Drosophila melanogaster: one gene and its partners. The protein of the gene in region 3 interacts with the protein of the main gene of each other region in a pairwise test. Each region holds a gene or a part of one and is shown on either strand. Other genes may lie near its edges.

The links.
Region 1: the proteins of CG1418 (region 3) and ens interact in a two-hybrid assay, tested with the Drosophila melanogaster proteins (one large-scale study listed by BioGRID).
Region 2: the proteins of CG1418 (region 3) and Lsd-2 interact in a two-hybrid assay, tested with the Drosophila melanogaster proteins (one large-scale study listed by BioGRID).
Region 4: the proteins of CG1418 (region 3) and AdipoR interact in a two-hybrid assay, tested with the Drosophila melanogaster proteins (one large-scale study listed by BioGRID).

What each region holds. Positions count from the first base shown.
Region 1 is NT_037436.4:4,131,188-4,136,517, reverse strand, and holds the start of ens (ensconsin), read left to right. Parts: upstream 1-1,967; 5' UTR 1,968-2,015; coding exon 2,016-2,064; intron 2,065-2,695; coding exon 2,696-2,749; intron 2,750-2,861; coding exon 2,862-2,969; intron 2,970-4,305; coding exon 4,306-4,562; intron 4,563-4,628; coding exon 4,629-4,768; intron 4,769-5,281; coding exon 5,282-5,330. Other genes in the region: RfC4 (replication factor C subunit 4), read left to right, coding at 535-699, 752-1,582.
Region 2 is NC_004354.4:15,070,837-15,078,114, reverse strand, and holds Lsd-2 (lipid storage droplet-2), read left to right. Parts: upstream 1-1,894; 5' UTR 1,895-2,174; coding exon 2,175-2,367; intron 2,368-3,740; coding exon 3,741-4,178; intron 4,179-4,723; coding exon 4,724-4,774; intron 4,775-5,147; coding exon of another isoform or gene 5,148-5,329; intron 5,330-5,466; coding exon 5,467-5,843; 3' UTR 5,844-6,652; downstream 6,653-7,278. UniProt on the Drosophila melanogaster protein: Essential for embryogenesis. Required for normal deposition of neutral lipids in the oocyte.
Region 3 is NT_033778.4:9,963,087-9,966,703, reverse strand, and holds CG1418 (uncharacterized protein), read left to right. Parts: upstream 1-1,636; 5' UTR 1,637-1,987; coding exon 1,988-2,070; intron 2,071-2,122; coding exon 2,123-2,329; intron 2,330-2,382; coding exon 2,383-2,674; 3' UTR 2,675-2,869; downstream 2,870-3,617. Other genes in the region: Pal1 (Peptidyl-alpha-hydroxyglycine-alpha-amidating lyase 1), read right to left, coding at 3,337-3,506.
Region 4 is NT_033777.3:22,542,918-22,549,662, reverse strand, and holds AdipoR (adiponectin receptor), read left to right. Parts: upstream 1-1,816; 5' UTR 1,817-2,004; intron 2,005-2,097; exon of another isoform or gene 2,098-2,279; intron 2,280-2,464; exon of another isoform or gene 2,465-2,539; 5' UTR 2,540-2,585; coding exon 2,586-2,951; intron 2,952-3,389; exon of another isoform or gene 3,390-3,576; intron 3,577-3,631; exon of another isoform or gene 3,632-3,667; coding exon of another isoform or gene 3,668-3,787; intron 3,788-3,879; coding exon 3,880-3,978; intron 3,979-4,192; coding exon 4,193-4,545; intron 4,546-4,603; coding exon 4,604-4,905; intron 4,906-4,968; coding exon 4,969-5,048; intron 5,049-5,105; coding exon 5,106-5,240; 3' UTR 5,241-5,970; downstream 5,971-6,745. UniProt on the Drosophila melanogaster protein: Adiponectin receptor. In insulin-producing cells, regulates insulin secretion and controls glucose and lipid metabolism.

The DNA of each region.
Region 1 (5,330 bases), on a different chromosome or scaffold from region 3:
TTACAATCCGAGTACTTTTCAAAAACTTATGATATACTTTGCAATTGGTCACTGATCGTATGATATAATTCGAACTATATTCAAATGCAAGTTCAAATTTTTGGCACCTGATGCATCTAAATGTATTGTAATTTCTTCAATACCCAATAAAGCTTAACGAAAAAAAAAAACTATTTGGTCTTAAATTAAATTTAACTTTTTTAGTTTTTTTTAACCTGATTTGAAATCCTCATCTATCTAACGTTTACATTGTAAACAAGAATTTTTAACTAATGTTTGCTTAAAACATATTCTTTTTATATATTGTTGAGCGTGTGTTCTTTTCCTCATTTACAGAATATTTTATGATCTGAACGTTTTTTTTTTATATTTGAATTTCAAATAATTACCTTTATGGACCTATCGGTGTTGCTAAGAAATCGATAAATGTAAAAAATACCAGGCCTAACCGTTGTGTTTTGGCGCCCAAGAAACGGCCACACTACAGCCCCACGCTTCAATTTGTTTGTGCGAATTTGTGAAATTGCACATAAAATGCCGGAAGAACCAGAGAAAACGGCGGACGACAAGCGCAGTCACTTGCCGTGGATTGAGAAGTACCGCCCCGTGAAGTTCAAGGAGATAGTGGGCAATGAGGATACCGTAGCAAGACTATCCGTATTCGCCACCCAGGGAAATGCACCCAATATTATTATTGCTGTGAGTTTGTGAGGAGTAAAATTAGTTTGGCGCCACTAATTGTGATCTATAGGGTCCTCCTGGCGTGGGCAAGACAACCACCATCCAGTGTCTGGCCAGGATTCTCCTGGGAGACAGCTACAAGGAGGCTGTCCTCGAGCTGAATGCCTCCAATGAACGAGGAATCGATGTGGTCCGCAACAAGATCAAGATGTTTGCTCAGCAGAAGGTGACACTGCCGCGGGGCAGGCACAAGATTGTGATTCTGGACGAGGCGGACAGCATGACGGAGGGTGCCCAGCAGGCACTGCGCCGGACCATGGAGATCTACAGCAGCACCACTCGTTTTGCCCTGGCCTGCAACACCAGCGAGAAGATCATAGAGCCTATCCAGTCCCGCTGCGCCATGCTACGATTCACCAAGCTGTCCGATGCGCAAGTTCTGGCCAAGCTCATCGAGGTGGCCAAGTGGGAGAAGCTTAACTACACGGAGGACGGACTTGAGGCCATCGTATTCACTGCCCAAGGTGATATGCGACAGGGACTGAACAACCTGCAGTCCACCGCTCAGGGATTTGGCGACATCACCGCTGAGAACGTCTTTAAGGTCTGCGACGAGCCGCACCCAAAGCTCCTAGAGGAGATGATCCACCATTGCGCTGCTAACGACATACACAAGGCCTACAAAATCCTGGCCAAGCTGTGGAAGCTGGGATACTCGCCGGAGGACATCATTGCGAACATATTCCGTGTCTGCAAGCGCATCAACATCGATGAGCATTTGAAGCTGGACTTTATCCGTGAGATCGGAATCACCCACATGAAGATTATCGATGGTATCAACTCGCTGCTGCAGCTCACCGCCCTTCTGGCCAAACTCTGCATTGCCGCCGAGAAGCATTAGATTTAATATGAACTATAGGTTAAAGAAATCTCAGAGATAAATAAAATTGGAGATAAATAAGTCCTTTTCAGTATTGAATACAAGTGTACCTAAATTTTAAACTGGGCACCGTTAGTTAACAGATTAATGTTAATTTCTATGTCAGCGCACTTAGAGCATATCGTCCCTAATGGAGTGTTAATTATTGCGCCCTTGGTATCGGAAGCTGAAATTATCATACAACATTAGATAATGTATTTATAGGACCGAATGATCATTAGTTTTTATACATAAAACCGGAGTTAGTTTTTATACATAAAAACCAATACGTTAGTTAACATTTCTAGTATTTTCGTAGAGCACACCACTATACAACAGTACGGTCGCATTAAGTAGATTATCGCAGCACTACAGAGCTGGCCACACTGTTTGCAGCGCTAAAGTAAAGTGAAATATGGCGAGTCTTGGGGGCCAACACGGAAATATTTCGACTAATCCAGAAGGTACGCATTGAAAACAACCCGCTGAGAGTGCGAAATCGAAGGACGAATGCCCCCGCGTCGAAAATCGGCCAGGATCTACGCGTTTTCGGGGCGTTTTCAGTGGCCAAAAAGTGCTGGTCGACTGCGCAGCAAAACGGCACTCACACCACGGCCAAAAAGCAAAAACGGAGTGAAGAGAGAAAAACGAAGAAAAAAAACAGCGAGGCGAGAGGCACAGAAAAGAAAAGAAGAGAAAAGCCGAGAAGCCAAAAGTGTCTGCCCCCTAGAAATGGGGGATATATGTATTTCGAGTTCCCCGATTCCGAACCGGAGTTTTGAGTTTATAAATAAGTTCCAGTCGGAAAAGTCGTTGGAACAAGAGAGAGGGAAACATACATTATTTTCTCGTACTTCTCACTGTCTCTCTCGCTTCGTCATCGCAGCTGCTGCCGTGCGCTTGTGTTCGTGCGTGTGTGTGTGTGTTTTTGTGTCCCCCTCCTTCCTCGCTCTTTCGCCTTCTTGTCACCTTTCCTTTTTGCCAAAACGCAACGGCAATTGATTTTCCCCACACACGAAAGCCAAAAGTCCGTGTAAAACTCCGGAAAATCGCAGCGAAACTCAATCGTCCATTTTTCTCGTACTTCTTTTGCAGTGGAAAACACAGCCAAGCGACCCGAAAGTCGCGAGGGCAGCGCCGAGCGAAAAGGTAAGCCTTCTATGCGGATTATCTTGCGAGTTACATAAAATCGGCACCAATGTATATCACACATACGCACTATATGTAATCGCTTTAACATCACCTATAACTCGAACCACAGCCCACGCATTCGCACCTGCCAAGATCTCGGGCTGCAGCGCCGGCGCAACCTTGCATTGGTTCGCCCAGGTGGGCGGTCAAATCTCCGCCAGTGAAGACGACTCTCAAGGTAGTTGGCATTCCATTCAGGCTGCTCCAAAGTCTTCCACAGCCACGCCCCGTTCTGTTCCGCCTCCAAAACGAATGCTCCGAATGTTTGCCGCATGATCTCACTAACAAATAAGACCCATAGTCCGCCTTATCGCGATTTTAACCGTCACTGGTCTATTGCAAGTCTTTCATAGCTGTTTTTCTAATAAGAAAATCTTCTTATCTATTCTCACCCAGTGACACGCTTTAAATCACTGTAGTTTCTAAACTGTCTAGATGTTACCCACTAAAGTGGGTTATTAAAAACTCAAAGCATCTTCAATTAACACCTAAAAGATCAAAATGTTATCTACACTTAAGGTCTAGCTTGATTTTAGATGGCAAGTCCAACTCTAATTATACAAATTTTAAAAATATGTATAGTCATATTTGACTAAATCATTGTGAGAATGCAAAACAAGGAATGATTAAGTTATTGGGAATTTGATCTTAATAACAATGTTCTCAAAGTTTGTTAAGTTAAATTGAACTACATGTTATTACGAGAGCAAAAAGGAAATGGATTTTATCAAGCGAAAAATCAATTGCAATGTTTTTGGCTTTCCAAAAACACAAGTAAATATGGCATACAGTGGGTTAAAATCCAGCAATTTTGCCTGCGACCTTGACAGCTGATAATTTCCCATTTGCAAGATATTTTCGCACCTGTAACTGGCAAAAAGATTGACTTGCAGTTGTTCCTTTGTCGTCTTGCTTACGTCATGGAATTCCAAAAATATCTTAACCGATAAGGCGATAAGAACCAGTTCCCAGTTCGATTATGCAGACTTTGGCAGCCAAACCGCATGCTACCAATATTATTGTTATTATTGTTAATTTTTTTTTTGCATTTTTCCGCCTCAATGTCATTTCAATAGAACAAAATGTGCGCCTGCATTAGCAATTTGCTTTCTATTTTCCTTTTATCATTTGTTTTTTTTGTTGTTCGCCCATTTTGCACATAGGCAAATTTGAAGCGGGGGCGGCGGTATTGTTGTCCGAGTATTTGTGCCATATTTGTTATTGTTGCTGCTGCTAGTTTGTCAATTGACCCACAAAATGCGAGTGTACATTGTCGATGACGTCAGCTCTCGGCTCTCATGTAAATAACTCGCCGGCAAAAGTCGAAAAATGGGGTATAATACTACACATATTAAGCAGATATTTATCGATTTTTGTTGGGCCACAGGTAGCAACTGATGAAAATATTCCCAGTTTTATTTGCTTGCGAACCGTAACTTGTTTATCCAAATTCAATTTATGCCCTTATAAGTATGTGCGAATTCGAATCTCTATTCATTTTGCTACGCTTTTAGCGTCCAAAGACCGTGAGGAGAAACTAAAATATGCCCGCGATCGCCAAAATGAGGAGCGCCACCGGAAAATCGAGGAACTGCGTGCCCAGGCGGAGGCCGCCCAGCGGTACCGTGAACAAAAGGAGGAGGAGCGCCGTCGACGCATCGAGGAGATCCGTACCCGGGACACAGAGAAGCGCCACCAGGTGGAGGAGCGCAAGAAGGCCATTTTCGAGGCCGAGAAGGAGCGCCGCGAGTACATCCTCAAAAAGAATCAGGTGCGTGCGTTATCGCTTCGATTCCAATGAACTTCTATTATAATTCTTGTTTTTGATCATCCACAGGAACGCGAGTCCCGGATAGAAGTGAAAAAACGGGACAGAAACTCCATCGGCTTCGCATTTGGCTCCTCGACTCCCCGCCTGCTGGATGTGCCCGCGGATTATGGTCTGGTATCGCCCAGTGCCTTTTGGGGTCAGCGGAGGTGAGATCCGAATGAAAGTTATCTGAGCACAAAGCCAAAAACTCACACAAAACGCGCACACTAATATGTAGCCATTCATGGCTATCTAGATTAGTATATATTTTGGCCGATTTCATATGTGCTTTGCGCTGCACATGACTAATTAGCGCTGCACTCTGACTGGCATTACTTAATTATTTTTATCAGTTCTTGAACTTTTAATGACGAAATTGTTTGCCAAAATATATAAATCACAATTAGTATAATTATTGACTTAGTAAATGTCGCGAAATGAAAGCAAATAATTGGCTAACATGAAACTAAAGATAGTGAGCTAGTAGCCAATCAATTGTTGAAAAAACCCATTTCACAATGATTAAGCAGGTTTTCATTGTAAACTTTGATATTCTTAATGGCAAATAGCTAATTGTTTTATCGTTATGAAGTAGCAAGGCCATTTTGAGGCAATTCGAAGTTTATATTTTTGCGCTTAGATATTTGAATTTGAGTACTAAACATGACTTCCCCTTGCAGGTCCACATCTATATCGAACGTAGCGGGCGCCTCGCTCACACGTCGAAGT
Region 2 (7,278 bases), on a different chromosome or scaffold from region 3:
GCTTGTAGTTTTCGTAATTTGTTTTCGTTTTGTCACTAATCGGACTTTGGATTGCCAAGCGAATTACACAGCATTCGGCAAGTATTACGTAGAATACTGAATGTAGATGTTTGACTGTGCAATGGCGTATTATCGATGCGGTGGCAGGGGTTCAAAGGTCGCACGAAGCTTTTGCGTGGCGTTGCCCATTGGCCATTGATAATCGAAGTGCCCCCATACACAGAAATACATATGTACGTATGCACATATATGTACATAAATATATATTGCAATGTACTTCAATCTAAACTTTGTTTGCGCCCGACACAACGTATTAATTAATCTAGTTGTCAAGCATGCCGAACAAACGTAGGCACTGTCTCTCTTCTTTTCCCAAATTTCTTTCTTTCTCTTCAGCTCTCTTGTTTTCTGAACAGAATAATTGGACCCCCCTCCAAGGACAACACAGAAGAATTGCACTATGAACTCTGCATAGATCGGGAAAAAATGATCAAAATTAGTTTGATCATGATAGAAGAATTGTTTATAATTTGATAATGGTACATTCTTTCACCTGATTTTCTAATTATGTTTTACCTCGAAAATAAAGATAATGAAAATTGTTTCAAAACTATTTTAAGTTTCATTTAAAACAGATATAGTACACAATTGTACTTATTTCAAACAAAGCGTTTGTACTATAATAATTCATCATAACAATTTAAGTGTACTGTTCAAAAACTATAGTACATTTATTCATATTATAATTACAGTTTGTCAAGAAACTGTTTACACACTGTGAAATAAGTTGAATTTTTGACTTTAAAGCTAAAAATTAAGTGTTTTTTGCTTAATTAAACGCAATTTTTGTATAAAATAAAATTAAACAGTATTTATTTTACTTATAAATCAAAAAATAAATTAAATATAATTTAATTAAATATAAAATAATAATTCGCTTCAAGCAAAGTCAAACAAATTTCATTAGAAGCGTTGTAAAAAGCAATGCAAAGCCAAAAATAACGGAAAAATCGAGTTCGTTCTAAGAAAAAGAACAAAACAAAGTAGGAAAACAAAATGTGTAAAGAGTTTCTTGACAGTCTCAAAGGTGTGTAAACTTGGATTATGTTGTTTATTTTCTTGTATATTTAATATTTTAATATTTGTTTTTTGATTTATAAGTAAAATAAATATTGTTTAATTAAATTTTATAAAAAAAATTGCGTTTAATTAAGCAAAAAACCTTTAATTTTAGCTTTAAAGTCAAAAATTCAACTTATTTCACAGTATGTAAACAGTTTCTTGACAAACTGTATATGGGGTCCTCAAAGAGAGTCCTAATCTCAAACTCTCGCTGATACTGCTTTGGCGCTCTGCTCTCTTCGCAGCGAAGCTATCTTACAGCAGCAAACGATCTAGCTATTTTCAAGATATATGTTGCAAAGAAATGTTCCTAAGCTCATTTATATTATTTGGTTATTTTAACCTTTTTATTTGTTTAGCACTGTTTTTTCACTGTCTGCGATATTTTATTACATTATTATTATTTATTACTCAACATTTTTGATAAACAAATTTGTGTATGGTTAAGTACACAAGTTCGAAGATTTTAATATTATAATTATATTTTGTAGTAATCGTGCTTGTCAAAGCTCATGGTTAAATTTTAATAATACAAAGTGTATTATAGCCACATGACCCTTGACTAGGCATAAATCTTGGAAAAAACACACTGCGGTTTGAACAAAAAGTAAGCTCTATTGGTAAAAACTGTACTTTTTAGCTATTTGACTAAAATTTCCTCATCCACTTCTTGCCACCTGCGGCATCACTGTTGCTCATAGCTTTTTGTTGCTCGGCGCTGGCAACACTGGCGGCGGCACTCGCTCATATAATAAACCAGCCGCGCAGCTCGCAAATCAGTCAGAGAGTCCCAACGAGCAGACGTGAGCAGACGTGCCAAAAAGTGCTAGGAATAAAATAAAACAGAGTGCTTCCAGAACGCAGACACACGCATACCCTACATTCACACACTCACTCGCAGGTTAAGCTGTTTTTTTGTTCGTGAAAGAAAAGAAGCAAGAGGCGAAAAGAAAAGTGCGGTGGCAAGCGGAAGAGCTTGATAGCGAAAGACAGAAAGAAAAAGTGAAAAGGGCAGCAGAAAGCAGCGCAAGAGGAACCAAAGAAAACTGATCATGGCCAGTGCAGAGCAGAAACACGCCACCGGGAACGGAACAACTGGCAATGGAACGGCGATGAACGATGTGGACCAGCCCAAGGATGCCAAGGACCTTCTGCCGCACCTTGAGTCCCTCGAGAGGATCATCAAATTGCCCGTGGTAAATGCGGCATGGGACAAGTCCCAGGATGTCTATGGCAAAGTAAAAGGTAAGTGCAGCAAAGGAAAACAGAAGAAAATGAAAATAAGACCTCCTCCGGGTGCATTGAACTCGCTCAAGTCCCGTTACTTTGGCGCGCCTAACGGCACATATAGAGAATAAACGACCGGTGAAGGAGGAGGTAAATAGCAACAACAATTGCAGCGACCATATGCACTCGAAGCCGTAATCGAAACCGAAACCGTTGCTTTTTTGACTTTGCTTCGCCATTTTATTTCGAGTTGCAATTCGAACTCGAAACGCACATAGAGGGCAGAAACAACTTTTTTTTGTTCAACTTTTTTTTCGTTTAATTGGCCAGAAATTAAGCTCAATTGATATAAATTGATTGCCGGTCGTTCAATAATCGAAATCACAGCAACAACAACCATGACCTAGCAATAAGAAAAGCAAAAAGGCCGGCACTTTGCCCTCGTGACGCGTTGCGTTCAAAGTTCGCTTAAAATTTACATAATAATAAAACAATCTTGGCCAACGCAATAGAGAGCGCAAGAGAGATAGAGTGAGGAGAGAGAGAGCGGTGGCTGACGGCAAAAAGGCCACCGCACGTAGGCTGCAGCCGCAGAGGCGCCGTCAACAAAAGGGGGCTCGTTTTGACAAGAGGAAAAGCAAAGCAGACCCAATGGCAACGCCACTGGCACTGGCAGTGCTGCTCGATCTGACCAAAAGTTAAGCTAAACTTGCACTTTAATTATAGCTAAAATAATGTTACTAGTTTTCTTCTCAATATTGATCCCAGCCTAAGTTTGCCGATCGTAAAAGCACAGATCCCTGAAAAAACAAATACTTAATGCATTTACTAGACAATACCAATTACCGCTGTCGAATAAAGCTAGATTTGGCTGGAAACTAACTAAAGCGGGCAGCACTTATGCTAAGGGGCTCTTGGGGTCTCACCGTCAGCAGCAACGACAACAAAAATTCTAGTTGGACTTTCGACTTGTTTGTGATATTTCGCAGTTGTTGTTGCTGCAGTTGCTGGGACTGGAATTGGAATGGATGATGTGTTTGACGAGTGACGAACTATCAAAGTCTAAACTGGCGGGCCCCAGACAGATAGAATGTAGGGGTCCAAGGGGCCCTGGGGTTCGTGAACTGCGCAGTTGCTTATCAGCCAGAAATGCTACATATTTATTATTACTATTATTATTGTTATTGTTATTATTATTACGGTTGCAACTGATAAGCGCGCTCTTCGTACTTGTGTCACATGTGTGGGGTATTACTACACAATTCTAGAAATTCTAGAAGTTCTAGATCTCTAAATTAAACAGGCTGTTAACTTTTAAATTAAACTTATACTAAGACATATAATTTCCAATCCGTATTTTTCATCGTAATGTGAACTACTCATATTTTCAGGCAAAAATCGTGTCTTCGAATGGGCTTTAACGGCGGCCGAGGATTGTGTGACGCGCGCGGTGACAACGGCGGCTCCCTTCGTCACCAAACTGGACCGACCCATCGCCTATGTGGACCAGACCCTGGTCAAGGGCATCGATAAGCTTGAGGTAAAGGCGCCGATCATCAAGGACACACCCCAGGAGATCTACAACCAGGCCAAGAGCAAGGTGATCGATGTGGTGCAGCCCCATCTGGAGCGCGTCGTCAAGTTCAAGGCAGCTGGTCAGCAGAAGGCCGCCTCGCTGAAGGATCTCGCCTGGCAGAAGGCCAACGAGGTGCTGGCCACCCAGTACGGCAGTCTGGCTGTCAACGGAGTGGACACCACCACGGCGCTGGCCGAGCGCCTCCTTGAATACTACTTCCCCAAGTGCGAGTCGGATGTCGAGGAAGATAATGGTGAGTGTTGACGGTAGAGTTACAAAAAAGTAGGTCACAATGTTAGGGTACTTTTGTTTATATATTTGTTCATTGGAGCCGTAGAACAGTGGTTTCACTTGGAATCTCTCAATTGCCATGACGTAAAATTTAATATAATATAAGTTAGTTGATGCAACTTAATTGAAATCTTGTTGTACATTTCATTACGTTTAAAACTACTTTTTTAATTTATTTAATATCAAATTCATAAGATCATTTTGACTTCACTTGAATTAATAGTCTTGTCCTGTCGTACTTCCATTATAATTTTTATATATATTCTCTTTGACACTTCTTTCTAAAAATTAAAAATACTGTCTTCAGAGCGAATAAGTTTAGAATTCAGTTTTATTTAAGAACTCTGGATGATGGTGGAGAACATTATTTATTGGCTCCGTACCATTTTTCATCTGTTGGCACAAAAATTTAAAATTAGCTTGTTTGCCTTCTGCTGCCCTCACTTTTTTTTGCGCGGTGTGTAAACAAAATTCTAAATATAAATCGTAAATATTTTTAATTCTCAGATGATAAACAAAATGCCGTCGTGCAGAATGGCAAGAGTTCTGAAAATGACAGTAAGTTCCCGATCCCCGATCCGATCTTTTGTTCGTTCGATCGTTTGTTTCTTTGTCTACCACTAACACACCGTCTAATAAGCATAAAAATAGCAAGTAAATAAAAAAGCATGAACACTAATCAAGCATGGCGATAATTTCACACACAAAACGAGAACAAAATGGGAATATAATATACAGAAATATTTACGATTTCGAGTCGAGCGATAAATGTTGGCTAGCCTTGGGATTTCCGAAACCCAGATCCTGATCCTGGTCCTTTCCCCGCCCCTAACATTAATTAACCACCCAACCCCCACCAAAAAGTGACACTTATTTTCTAAATTAATATCTCTCTCTCTCTCTATCTCTCTTTCTCTGTGCCATTTGTTAGTTATTATTGTTGGGGAGAGCTACGACCGGGATCACGATCAAGAGATTGATGATAGATTCTTAGTGGCCGCCTCGACGGTATTTCTGTCCATGTCCCTGAAAATCATAACCGAAATTGTTGAGTACGTTAGAAGAAATCCAGAGATCGTAGGCATTATCGATAGGGAACTCAACAAGTTTATGGTAAGCACACACAAGCCCACACAGCGCCAAAGTTACTAATCAATCAATGACTTGTTTATAACCCGTAACAAATACTCAAATTACAATTGCTTGCTTCCCTCGTTAATGGTGATTGCCTTTGCTCAATTTACTTGTAGTGCCAGTTCCCGCCAGCGAGGATCCAGTCCTACACACAGTACAGACAGTTGGACGGCTATCCAATAAGATCTCGCGTCGCGTCTATCGAAATGTCTCCCGACAGATCAAGCAGGTCCAGAAGGGCAACATCAACGACTATCTGAGCTCCCTGATAGCCGCCCTCAAGTTGCATCAGTACATCAATTTTATTAACTCGTCGATGGGCACGAATGTGGAGCAGTCTGGTGGCAGCAGCAGTGACGCCTGTTCGCCATTTGGAACCACCACTAGCACCACTACCACCACTACCACCAGCTCCACCAGCAACAACAAGCCCGTTGTTGCCTTGCCACATGTGGCCAAAAGCAAACGGGCGCCGGCGGTGTCGTCTCAGTAGTGGAGAAACAGCAGCTCATCTACAATTATATCTATCTATAGCTAGATATTATCCTCTTTCACGCACGCTCACCACCTAAGATACCCCTCTACCTACCACCCACGCCGCCCATTTTATAATGTATTTTATAAATTCTTTTTTTTTTTTTATTGCGTACTATTTCATTGAGTGTACTAGCCGATACGAGTAGTACTTCCATAGAGGATCATTTAAAGTGGAGAAGGTTATTCGAACGCACGCCCAAGAAGTCCGCCTCCTCCTGCGCCACCTGCTTTGTAAATATTTATTTGAAGTATAGCCCTCACCAATCCTAGTTATAAGATATAGTAGTCGCAGAGATCCGGGAGTCAGAAGAGAGCGTTTTTTTTTCGTCAATTTTAGCTGTGCTAAAGTGCCACGCATGCATTGAATAATACATTATAAATATATACACACACACCTATATATGCCTAACATATACGCAGATATATGATATATATACATATAGAGAGAAACACACGCACACGGTTGGCATAGTGCGGTTTAGCTGTACGTATACGTAATATAATACCTAATGCTATTTCTATATCTATTTAAATTCCATTGTACGCTCGCTGGGAGCCCAACCAGATGATGTTTAATTGCTAATGAAAATGAATTATGCCTAATATATATCCATACATATATATATATATATATAACACAACACCCCCCCCCTCTCCCCTCACACACTTGTATGGAGAACCTAGCCATAATGTTTGCTCTAAACAACTAGATTGATAATATTAAATATTAATAAAAAGAACCAACGCAAAACTGGAACGAAGAACAAGAGAATTGCCAACGAATTTCTTTTAATTATTTTTGCCTCTGCCACTCGATGATGAGCGGAAGGGGGTGGGGGGAGAAGGAGGAGCGCTGTAGCTCCTTCTGCCCCCTATCTGATTAGGCGCCTTATCGGGACAGCACTGTACGGTCCGCTGATTTATTTCGAGTTCAGTGTAGAGTTCAGTCGCTGCAGCGAATGAATTTATGGAGCACTTGCTGCCCAGATAAGGCTATATGTATGTATGTATGTACACAATGTTTCCGAACATGTGATATTAAAGTGCGTTTTGCTCGAAATCGGAAATCGCTGCTAAAACCATGTGCTTCATAAATGTATATCAACTAAATGTTTCAGCGCACACTTCAGTTACAAATATTAGCTGGCTAGATAATACCTACATTTTTCTTTAGTTGTTAGTTACAATGACGTATGGGAACTACTTCTGCTTGCCCATTTGGCCCAGTTCCAGTTTTAAGTTCCCACTTTCTTGAGCCGCACTGTCGCCCAGTGGACTTGTGACTCTGTCCCTGTCGATAATGACGGCGTTAATGGCCGTGCAATTATCCGTCTTGTAGATTGGGCAAAACGTCGACGTCGGCTTCTCGGAGTTTCCTTTTCATTTCGTTT
Region 3 (3,617 bases):
CGTCCGTATGAATGTCGAGATGTCGGAAACATTAAGAGTAAGGAAGCATGTAAGTTTTCTTTAAAACCGTGCCACGCCCCTGTTACGCCCTAAACTCCTAAAACGCTCACATCCTAAAAGTCTTCTGGATACCAGGAAACGTTCAAATCCTACTACTTTTAAACATATCAAAACTGTAGTAATAGATTGATCAGAGCTATATCCTTGCTACACGCCAAATTATTCAAATTCTACATATCCATATGTTGCAGGTTCATAAACTGAGTAACAGGTATCTAACAGTCGCAACACTCGAATACATTCACAGGTTTTTTGGAAATGAAGGACACCATCACCCTGATACCGCGTGACTAGAACGAGATTTATTTTTTACTTTCTCCACAATCCCAAAATACCGTTGAACAAAAAGATGATAATCAATTTCCATCTCCGTAAACAAATATAAATCCATTCTGAATATTTCAAGACACAATTTTTTTAAGTTAAAATCAAAAATCTGATTCATACCGGAACTGTGAAAAAATACTTATCACTTGTGTCACACCAGCAATATGTTATGACGTCAAAAATCCATATCTGTAAATATATCTAAGTTAGAACTTTTATTATATAGTCTATATTCATAATGGTAATGCAAATGAAAACTCTCTTAACTTCTAAAACTCTTTGTTGGTAAATGTAAATAGAAATGTAACATTTAACCTGAGTGTGTATACAAGATACAAGAAATATAAGATATGTATGTATTAGCCAGAAGACCTGAGAAAAATTTAATGGATGTTGTGTTATCCGTCAAATAAATTGTTCAAAAAATATTTAAAATATCAGCGCGATTCTTACCTGTTACTTGTAAAGCAACGCAGACTCTTAAAATTTCTTTCGTTACGCCTACTTATATAAAAGGAAATTAAAAGAATTGCTTAATATGTTTGCTTTGTTTGGCCTTGTTAAAAGAAATAATAAGTAATTCTGTGATGAAAACATTTTTAAGCAGAGAGAACTATATAGTCCAGTTCCTCGACTATCAGATACCAATTACTCAGCTGGTGGAAAAGTTCAACATTCATTTTGGCTTATCTATACAAATTGGAAAAAAAAATAATAAGATGAAAAATAGGCAAGTAACTTTTTAAAAGTGTGGGTTTGGTTTGGTTTGGGCGCATCCAACATATCTTTTGCCATACTGATAACAAATAGTAAAATTAAAAAATGTCTACACATAAAAGTGAAGACGTAGCAGATTTCAGTGTTAAAATGGGCGTGGTAAAAGGTTTTTGGCATAGCTCTAGAAATTGGCAAGACAAGTAATAAAATGAAAAAAAATCGATTCATTTTTTTAAATTGTGGCGTTGCATCATCAGAAAGAAACTGAATTTCTAATCTTAACTTTCTAGCTTTAATAGTTCAAGTTAATAGACAAGGATATCAAAAATATATACATTTTTAAACGAATCTAGTATAACCATCTACTACACGAGTAATAGGTAGAAAAATATAATTGTTTTGTGTAAAAATATCATTAAAAAATAATTCAAATGTTTAGAGAAAAAGTTTTGTATTAAATGTTTGATTGCATTCAGCGCTTTGGATTTGTTTTCAGTTGATTTCGAGAATTTGCGCACTCGCAACTCTGGCCACACCGCACGTCACGGCAACGGCAATCCTAGAACTATCTGCCACATCAGATTTTTCAAACTTTGTATACTGTTTCTCAAAAGAAAACGATGTCATAGCAAATTAAGAGTGAATCGTAAAATCAACATCGAAAGTGTTGCCGCCTCCATGTAGAAGTGACCCCGCTAAAGTCCTCGCCGCTTTACAAACGCCGCAGCATCCTCAAGACAGTTCTTGGACCAAGTGGAACGAATCCAAAGATACACATAACACTTGTGGAACGCCCACACTTGTCGAAAGAAGAATTGTAGATTGCAGCGAAGACGTGTATCTAAGATAAGTGTTAGGACGAGGTTGGGAAAGCACAAGCAAAATGGCACACACTGGCGGGAACCTATCCGGTAACATGCAGCCGCCACCGCCTTCCGGAGGCAGGTTCTCCGTGGACATGCAAAGGTGAGTAAACCGTAACAAGGAGCGAATAGCTAATTACTCTTGAACCCTGCAGCCTGCCCTCGCTATCCAACCTGCCATCACCGCTGCAGATCTTCCAAATGGTCCGAAACTCCCTGCGGCCCTGGGTAGTCTTCTTCAACATCAACAATTTCAAAACGGCCATCAGCATGCAGCGGCTAAATAGCCGGGTTATTCGGAATCTCTCCTATTTTCAGGCCAACTACGTTTTCATCTTTTTTGTACTGATGATATACTGCCTGTAAGTGATTCTAAAAACCTTATTGCACCCCATTTAATAGTTATAATCTTAAGCATCACGGCTCCCTGCATTCTGCTGGTCATCCTGGCTTCCGCTTTTGGCTGCCATAAGCTGCGCGTGCGCAACAGTAACATTACCATCGTGGGACAACAACTGACGCCCAGCCAGCAGATCATCGCACTCAATCTGGCGACGGCACCAGTGCTATTCCTGGTGGGCGCGGGTGCGGTTTTGTTTTGGACGCTGGGTGCTTCATGCTTCGTGATTGCTATGCATGCTATATTCTACAACATCGATGCTATTGTAACGGAGGAGAATGAGGGTTTCCTCGCCCAGGTTGTCTGACCGCCAGCCAGAAGCTAAACCCTAGGTCTTCTGGGATCGTGGCAACCAGGGACGAGGAAAGGGGCTAAACATATTCGCCACTATGGGGCCTTGCAAGTCGACACAATATGTTGTACACCTATTTATAACGAAATCTAGTTAAGCCGCAGACTTTAAATAATCGAAATACACACTATGACAGATTCATACGACTATATTCTTTTTGGCAAATTAATCGCAATATATGAGGCGCATTCGCTGAGAACTTCGATTTAATTCGAAAAAAAAAATTAATTTAAAGGATGTGGTCAAGTCATTGGACTCTGTGGCACTTACAATATTTCAGATATTTTCGAGCTCTTTAGAGGCATGCGTTTTAAAAATGTATTCTTTTAAATAAAGAATAAATATAAGTAACCGGAAAAAAATCGCATAGTCGGTTCTCCAAAAGAAGTTTCCATAAATAAGCTGTTTAAAATACATTGAACAAACGGCTCAATAAATCAACTAGAAATACACCACGATCGGAATTCTCTGCGATATGCACCACAAGGAAGGTAAATAAAGTTACCTAAAGTACACACATATACATAGCTCGCGTAAAACTAAGTCGGTATTTCAATGAGGTACAGGTAGTTAGAACTAGGAATGCTTTGTTAGCTGCGTAAGTCTTGGTCCTTCGCCTAGGCGTACTGGGCACTCGCCAGTGTCTTCGTCTCCTGCTCCTCGTCGCTGGCCTGCTGGTCCAGCTTCTCGAATCCGTTGCGATCCCGATCGAGAAGTCCGCCCAGCTTGAAGCCATCGCTTTTCTCCCACGCGTGGCGACGACCGCGTGCTCCGAAAGGCAGGCAACCTGTGGGATATGTTGGTACAACTGATTAACTAACAATTACCATGGGATTTATATGAGCAATAACACTAGTCACCCCATTCCCTTCTTAGTTCATGCATAGATCTGCGATCT
Region 4 (6,745 bases), on a different chromosome or scaffold from region 3:
TTCTGTGTGCCCATTTAAAAAAACATTTTTCTAAAAACATCTCTATAAAGAAATGCTTAAAAAATTATCTACATTTTTATAATAAAAATAGTTCCATTAGACCCTTTAAAAATAACCAAAATAATAACATTTTATATATAAGTTCCTGACACCACTTTTCTTTCTGTGTGCCAATTTCCAGCTACAAAATTGGCTTTAAATAAACCGCTAGACAATTGATTTATTATCGCCGTCACGTCATTGAGACGAACTCAATTGGCAGCATAGTTATAAGTGCTTATATATATATATATATATGTGCCAATGTGGGGGATGACACGCCCCAACTCCATAACCTGGCACTTAATTTAACTACGCAAATAGGGTTTACGGGCGCAGTTAACACATTTCCAGATCGATGGGAAGCGATTGTCCGTCCAATGAATGGGTCAATTTCACGCACTTACTCTCACCAGTCTCCCAGATTCCCAGGTGATTTGTGTGACCCATGGTGATCCATGTACTCCACCCACGTGCTAAGTGCCCGGTCAAATATGCAAATGTTTGCCGAGTTGGATGCACTGCAGCTGTGTTGGTCGCCACCCTTCCGGGTCTTTGGCATTTCCATTTCCATTTGAAGCACATTGGCCGTTTAGCATTTTTTGTCGCGCGCTCGTCATTCAAACAGAAACAGCTCGCATTATCGGCGCTTCTCTTTTGTGATTATGACCCTGAACTTCAGCGCTACTAAATGTATTAATTCAGTCGATTAATACCGCTAGTCGGGGTCTGTGCGAAATCTGCTCCTTGGCCGAGTTTCTAACGTAGCTGGTCAGAACGCCGAGAGCTGATGGATGATATTGGCCTGGATTGGTCAATAGGGTATATCATCTTGATGGGCTGCCCCTGAGCAAAGCAAGTTCTATAGTCTTATGTTTGAAATTGAATTTGTTTAACAAAGATGAATGACTCTTGACTAAACATATTGGCCTTTATGTGCAATAAATATTCTAAGGGCGCTATTAAAACGTAGTTAAATTGCGCTATTAAGAGCTTGCCAAACAAGTGAATCTTTATTGGGCCTGCAAGGCTGGTGATATTTCCTCACTAGCCAAACACCATTTTGTCTTCCCAATTAAGTTTCTTTATTATTAGAATTGTTATTTGCCTACATTTGTGGGTTTTTATAACACCGTAATGCTATTTCTAAAAAAGCTATAATTAGACATTCTTGTATTACTTTAATTAATTAATTTAAATATATATATTTTAAGTAAGCTGTGATGTTGTCTTTGTTGTCTTTGCAAAAGTGTCCAAGGAATGGCAGATATGTGCATACTTAAGTAGGTTAAATATCGGGGAACTACACATGCTAATTCATAACTACCAGGCTTAAGTTGAGTTCATTGTTGATGTTTTTTAATGAGATGCCTTAACATTTTTTGAAAACAATTTCTCTGTTACTGAAGTGTTTACAGACTAGAGGAAAATTTTCTATTCATATAATATACGTCTTGTAATTTCGTCACGGTAATTTCTCATGAAAAAAAAAACAAATGCCTGTTAGGTATTTACGCAAATATCCAATATTTGGTCAGTTGAAGTACCACCTTTGATCGCCAATAAAAAGTTGTTAGCTCTCAAAAATGTTGACTAATAATGAAAGCACCTTGTTTACCGGGAGCAATACGATTTGCTGGCAAGCATTTTCAAATATGGCGGGCGCTGCGCAGAGTTGCCACATTGTTTTACAGAGCTGTGACTACAAAGTAGCGTTAACAGCCGTTAACAGCTGCTGCGTCAAGGTATGACCGCATTTCCTCCGTTCCCATATGATTGCTAGTGATTTTCCCTATCGCGCTTGCAGTCACACTGGAAAAAACACAGAAAAAATTAAATTAAGGGAAAACAGATGAAAAACTGCAATTGCACGCAATTGAAGCAAGTGCAGCAAATAGTTTTTCGCGCCAGTGTTGACTCCTGGGCCTGCCGTCGAAGCCACGCCAACTGCGCGACTTTCGAGTGGTAAGTGAATAGTAACGAAACGCCAGTGAAATCGAGTGATTAATCGTTCGTTTGTGTTGTGACACTTTCTGTAACTTCGTATAAAAAAAATGGGAACTGCGCAAGTGGAGTGCAGGTGGGGGTTAAGCCAGTTGGTAGTATTCCACTCACACGTGGCCTTCTGGCTGCATTTTCCATGCACTTTGCTATCTATATAATGGTTTCCCCGAAATAGCAACTGCACCTTAACCCACTGAGGATCCCACTCGCATTTGAACACCATCTTATGTAAAAACGTAATTGGCAGCTAAGTTTCCTAAGTGATAAAACACACAAAGCTACCAGATACAGACTTATGTGCTACGTACAACCGATTTACTGGGGAACAAAGGTCGCGCCATACTATATAGCAATGCGATCGGAGCAGACCAATAAACAAATAAACAAATATCGCATTTCCCAGACGAGCTAGCGTTGAGCTAACAAACGCTTAGCATTGCTTTCGAACAACTAAATTCGTATGTATCGTATTGAACAGAACGTATTTCTCTTACAGAATACTATTTGCGGAGTGCAAAACGAATCCGCGGGATCGTAAGACCATGGATTCGGCCACTAATCTCCTCGAGCAACAGGGCTCAGCGGCTGATGTGAGTGGCGGGAGCCATCCCGCCGAGGTGGAGGTAACCACCCAGGCTCGAGCCACTTTCGGCATGGACGCCGAAGGACATGCTACCGGCGAGGCGGTGACCACCACCACGGCCACCTTGCGTAGAGAAGGTTCAGACGAGGATATCTTTGAGCAGGTGCAGATGATCCTGCGCAAGCGACGTGGCTGGGGACCGGAGGACTCGCTTAGCCCCAATGATCTGGACATTCTGGAGTACGACGATGAGTTGGTCGAGGAGGATGACGCCGGTTGTCCACTCCCCTCGACCCCGGAGGACACACAGCTTATTGAGGCGGAGGTGAGTTGGGGCTATTAACCTTTATTTCCATTTTCCACCAGGTGGAAAAGTACGAAATGCAATCGTCAAAACATGTGGCGGAGCTCTTATCGCTGACCTACCACCATGTGGTTATCGGCTGCCACTTGTTAGTCGCAATTTTCCCTCTGCGCAGGCAGTCATTTCAATGTCGGGCGTCTTATCAATCGAAATGTTGCATTGGCCAATGTCTATTTGCCACATGCAAAATGTACCATAACCATTGTACTTAAACCTTATCGTGGCCATTTCTCCATTTTTATGACTCACTAAATACAATTGCTCAATTTAAAGCATATTCCATAGCCATTTGAAAGTTATACCTCTTATCTCTCCTTGCCTTTAATGTCTGTCCGAAAGGTGTCAAGTAAAATTTCTTGACTTTGAGCCTTATACTCTAGACAATCTGCCCGTTTGATCACCGGCTTTAAAGGTCAGGCTTAGATTGAACGCAAAAAGCTTTGGCATAGCCCTTTATACGACAGATGCTGGAAAAAAATCACAAATTTACGTCGATGCGGTGCTGATAATGCCCGGAGTCAGTTTCGGGCAAGCTTATCTTATCGCGGAACGCATTCGGTGCTTTCTTGTTCCGCCAACAAATTGAGTATGCGACTGGCAGAGGCTTCACAGTACAATCGCTCATTGCCTCGCACATTTAGTTCTAGTTCCGTTCGAATCTCTGTTAGCCGCTCAAGATGCAGACCCAGCCGGAGGTTATAGTGCGTGTCAACCCGGATCTGGAGCCGGATCTCAGTCAAGAAACTTACAGAACCCAAAACCCTGACACAGTCAAGGAGCAAGCTGAAAATGCAGTCGTTAGTCCCATTTGCTCTTAGTTTTTCTTTGTTATTAAGCTTTTTATATTTGTTTTGAGAGCTGTTTAATGTCTTATCACTCTATTCCACAGATGACGGAAGTGCTGAAGGCCGGAGTTCTCTCCGATGAAATTGATTTGGGCGCATTGGCACACAATGCCGCCGAGCAGGCAGAGGAGTTTGTGCGCAAGGTAAGCCAAGTGATGCTGCCAAGTGAAGAATGGCTTAAATGGAAGATACTCTTCAAGATTTGTAATATTGTAGCTTTTGTATTTTTGTTTTTATTTCAATAAATAGTATTAAGTGTTGGGACTGTATTTTTTGTTGTTGTTGTTTGTTTATAGTTACCAAACGTAATGTCTTATCTATAGAATGATATGTTATTTTTTTCCATTTCATCCGTAGGTCTGGGAGGCTAGCTGGAAAGTGTGCCACTACAAAAATCTACCCAAGTGGCTGCAGGATAACGACTTCCTACACCGCGGCCATCGCCCACCGCTCCCCTCTTTCCGTGCGTGCTTTAAATCAATTTTCCGCGTGCACACGGAAACGGGCAACATCTGGACACATCTTCTTGGCTGCATCGCCTTCATCGGCGTGGCATTATACTTCATCTCGCGTCCCTCGGTTGAGATCCAGACACAGGAGAAGATCGTTTTTGGCGCCTTCTTTATCGGTGCGATTGTGTGCCTAGGATTCTCATTCGCTTTTCACACACTGAGCTGTCATTCTGTAGAGATGGGAAGACTGTTTTCTAAGTAAGTATTCCTCGACTAATTAAATGGATATTATGTTAATTGTTTTGTTTACCAACAGACTTGACTACTGTGGAATTGCGCTGCTGATCATGGGTTCCTTTGTGCCTTGGCTGTACTATGGCTTCTACTGTCATTACCAGCCAAAGGTGATATACCTATCCGTTGTTAGCATTCTGGGCATCCTCTCCATCGTGGTCTCGCTATGGGACAAGTTTTCGGAGCCGGCACTTCGTCCCTTGCGCGCTGGCGTATTTATGAGCTTTGGCCTGTCGGGTGTGATTCCAGCTATTCACTACAGCATCATGGAGGGCTGGTTCAGCCAGATGAGCCGCGCCAGTCTGGGATGGCTAATTCTGATGGGTGAGTGCTTGTAGATATGCATATTAAAATAATGGTAAAACAATGGCAAAATACATCTTGCAGGCCTCCTCTACATTCTGGGCGCACTGCTGTACGCCCTCCGTGTTCCCGAACGCTGGTTCCCTGGAAAGTTTGACATTTGGGTACGATTCTTGATGGTTTTGTCCTTTGCACCGTTCTAACAGTCTTTTATTTTGCAGGGTCAATCACATCAAATATTCCACATACTGGTCATTGCGGCCGCTTTTGTCCACTACCATGGCATCTCTGAAATGGCCATGTACCGCGTCATGTATAGCGAATGCACTGTTCCCATCGAACCAATAACCTTTTAGATGCTGAAGTGGATGCCAAGAAACAATCATCGTAAAAGCACATACAATCCCATTCATAGTACGAGTAAAACATATATTAATGCGAACTAGCGCAGTTTTACAATGCAACCTTTTTAGCGTTTGGGGAGCATTTGTACCTTGTTATACAAAATCAACGGAACCATATAGAAGACAAAAACACACACTTAACACACAATTACACGCATTTATCATCAAAATCTTGCATAGAAAAAAAAAAATTGCAAAACCAGTTGATTGTCGAATGAAATCTGCAGTAGAGAAATTAATATATGTACAATTATTTATAAAATTCCAATTTGTCTACTTAATGTTGTCGTAAGTTGATTTACATTTCGAGTAGTGCAGAATTGCTTGCATCTGAAATTGGCAAAACGAGATGACTTCCGCTCAAGGGTTCCATTGCTAAAACAGGATCTAAAGGAGCTACCATGTCAGCCAAGCAATTACTTTAAGTTATGCAATTAGATGATCCCCTTGTGGCATTAGTATTTACCTTACCGCTTAGAGTTGTTAGGGTTGTATGGAGTAATGAACATACGTTTCATCGTTAAATGAGGTCTGATTTTATATTCACACATATACACAGCACATCACAAATTCCGCATCCCTGCACCCACACGGCAGAGCATCGCGCATGGAGCCTAAGATATTATATCACCATATACATTATAAATGCAGATCTATCACAAAACATAAAGCGAATCAAAACAATAAAAAAAAAAGCTGAGACTTCTAAAAGAGCGTTTTGGTGAAGATTGCTATATTAAGCCATATATAATTTTATTTCTTGGCGCAAAAACTATTTTAAGGTTTGCTGATTGCCATTGAGCAATTCGGCGGTTGCCATCACCCTAATGCCTGGCCATAAATATCGCTGCAGAGAACTAGAAATTCGCATCGGGGTTATTAGTGGAGTTCAGTCTGCTGATGACTGGGCGAATGCCGAGTTGACTTTGACCCCCTTGATGAAGTGAGCAGCCGTGGTCTAGTCGCCGAGATCTCGGATCGCGATCTGATTCCTCTGCTGCCTTGTGTTCTATGCGTCGTCATTGTCTTCGCCGTGTGCCAGTTTCTATCGACAAATCCGCAGATCGTTAAACCTTTTATTTTGCACGGCGCAAATAAATCGAACTTTGTACTTGACAACTTGTCGGCACGTGTCTTTCAACTAAATGCGATTGCAGGGGTTTTATTTTACAAACAAAAATTCAAGTTCAGCAGAAAAAAAAGCAAATGACTTGGTCGAAATAAGGCGAAAATCAGTTCGGAAGTTGGGCAAAGTGGGAGAAAACCAAAGCCAAAGAGAAATATTTTTAAAATGCCTTAATGAGGCGTAAGCATGTGCAAAGCTAAATGCTACAGTGCGGCTTGGATTTGATGATTTTGAAGACTACGCATTTTCGGATAGGTATCAAGCAAATGCTAACCATTCAAAAAGTTAAGCATTACGACGTACCATTACCATTAGCATTACATATATTTAA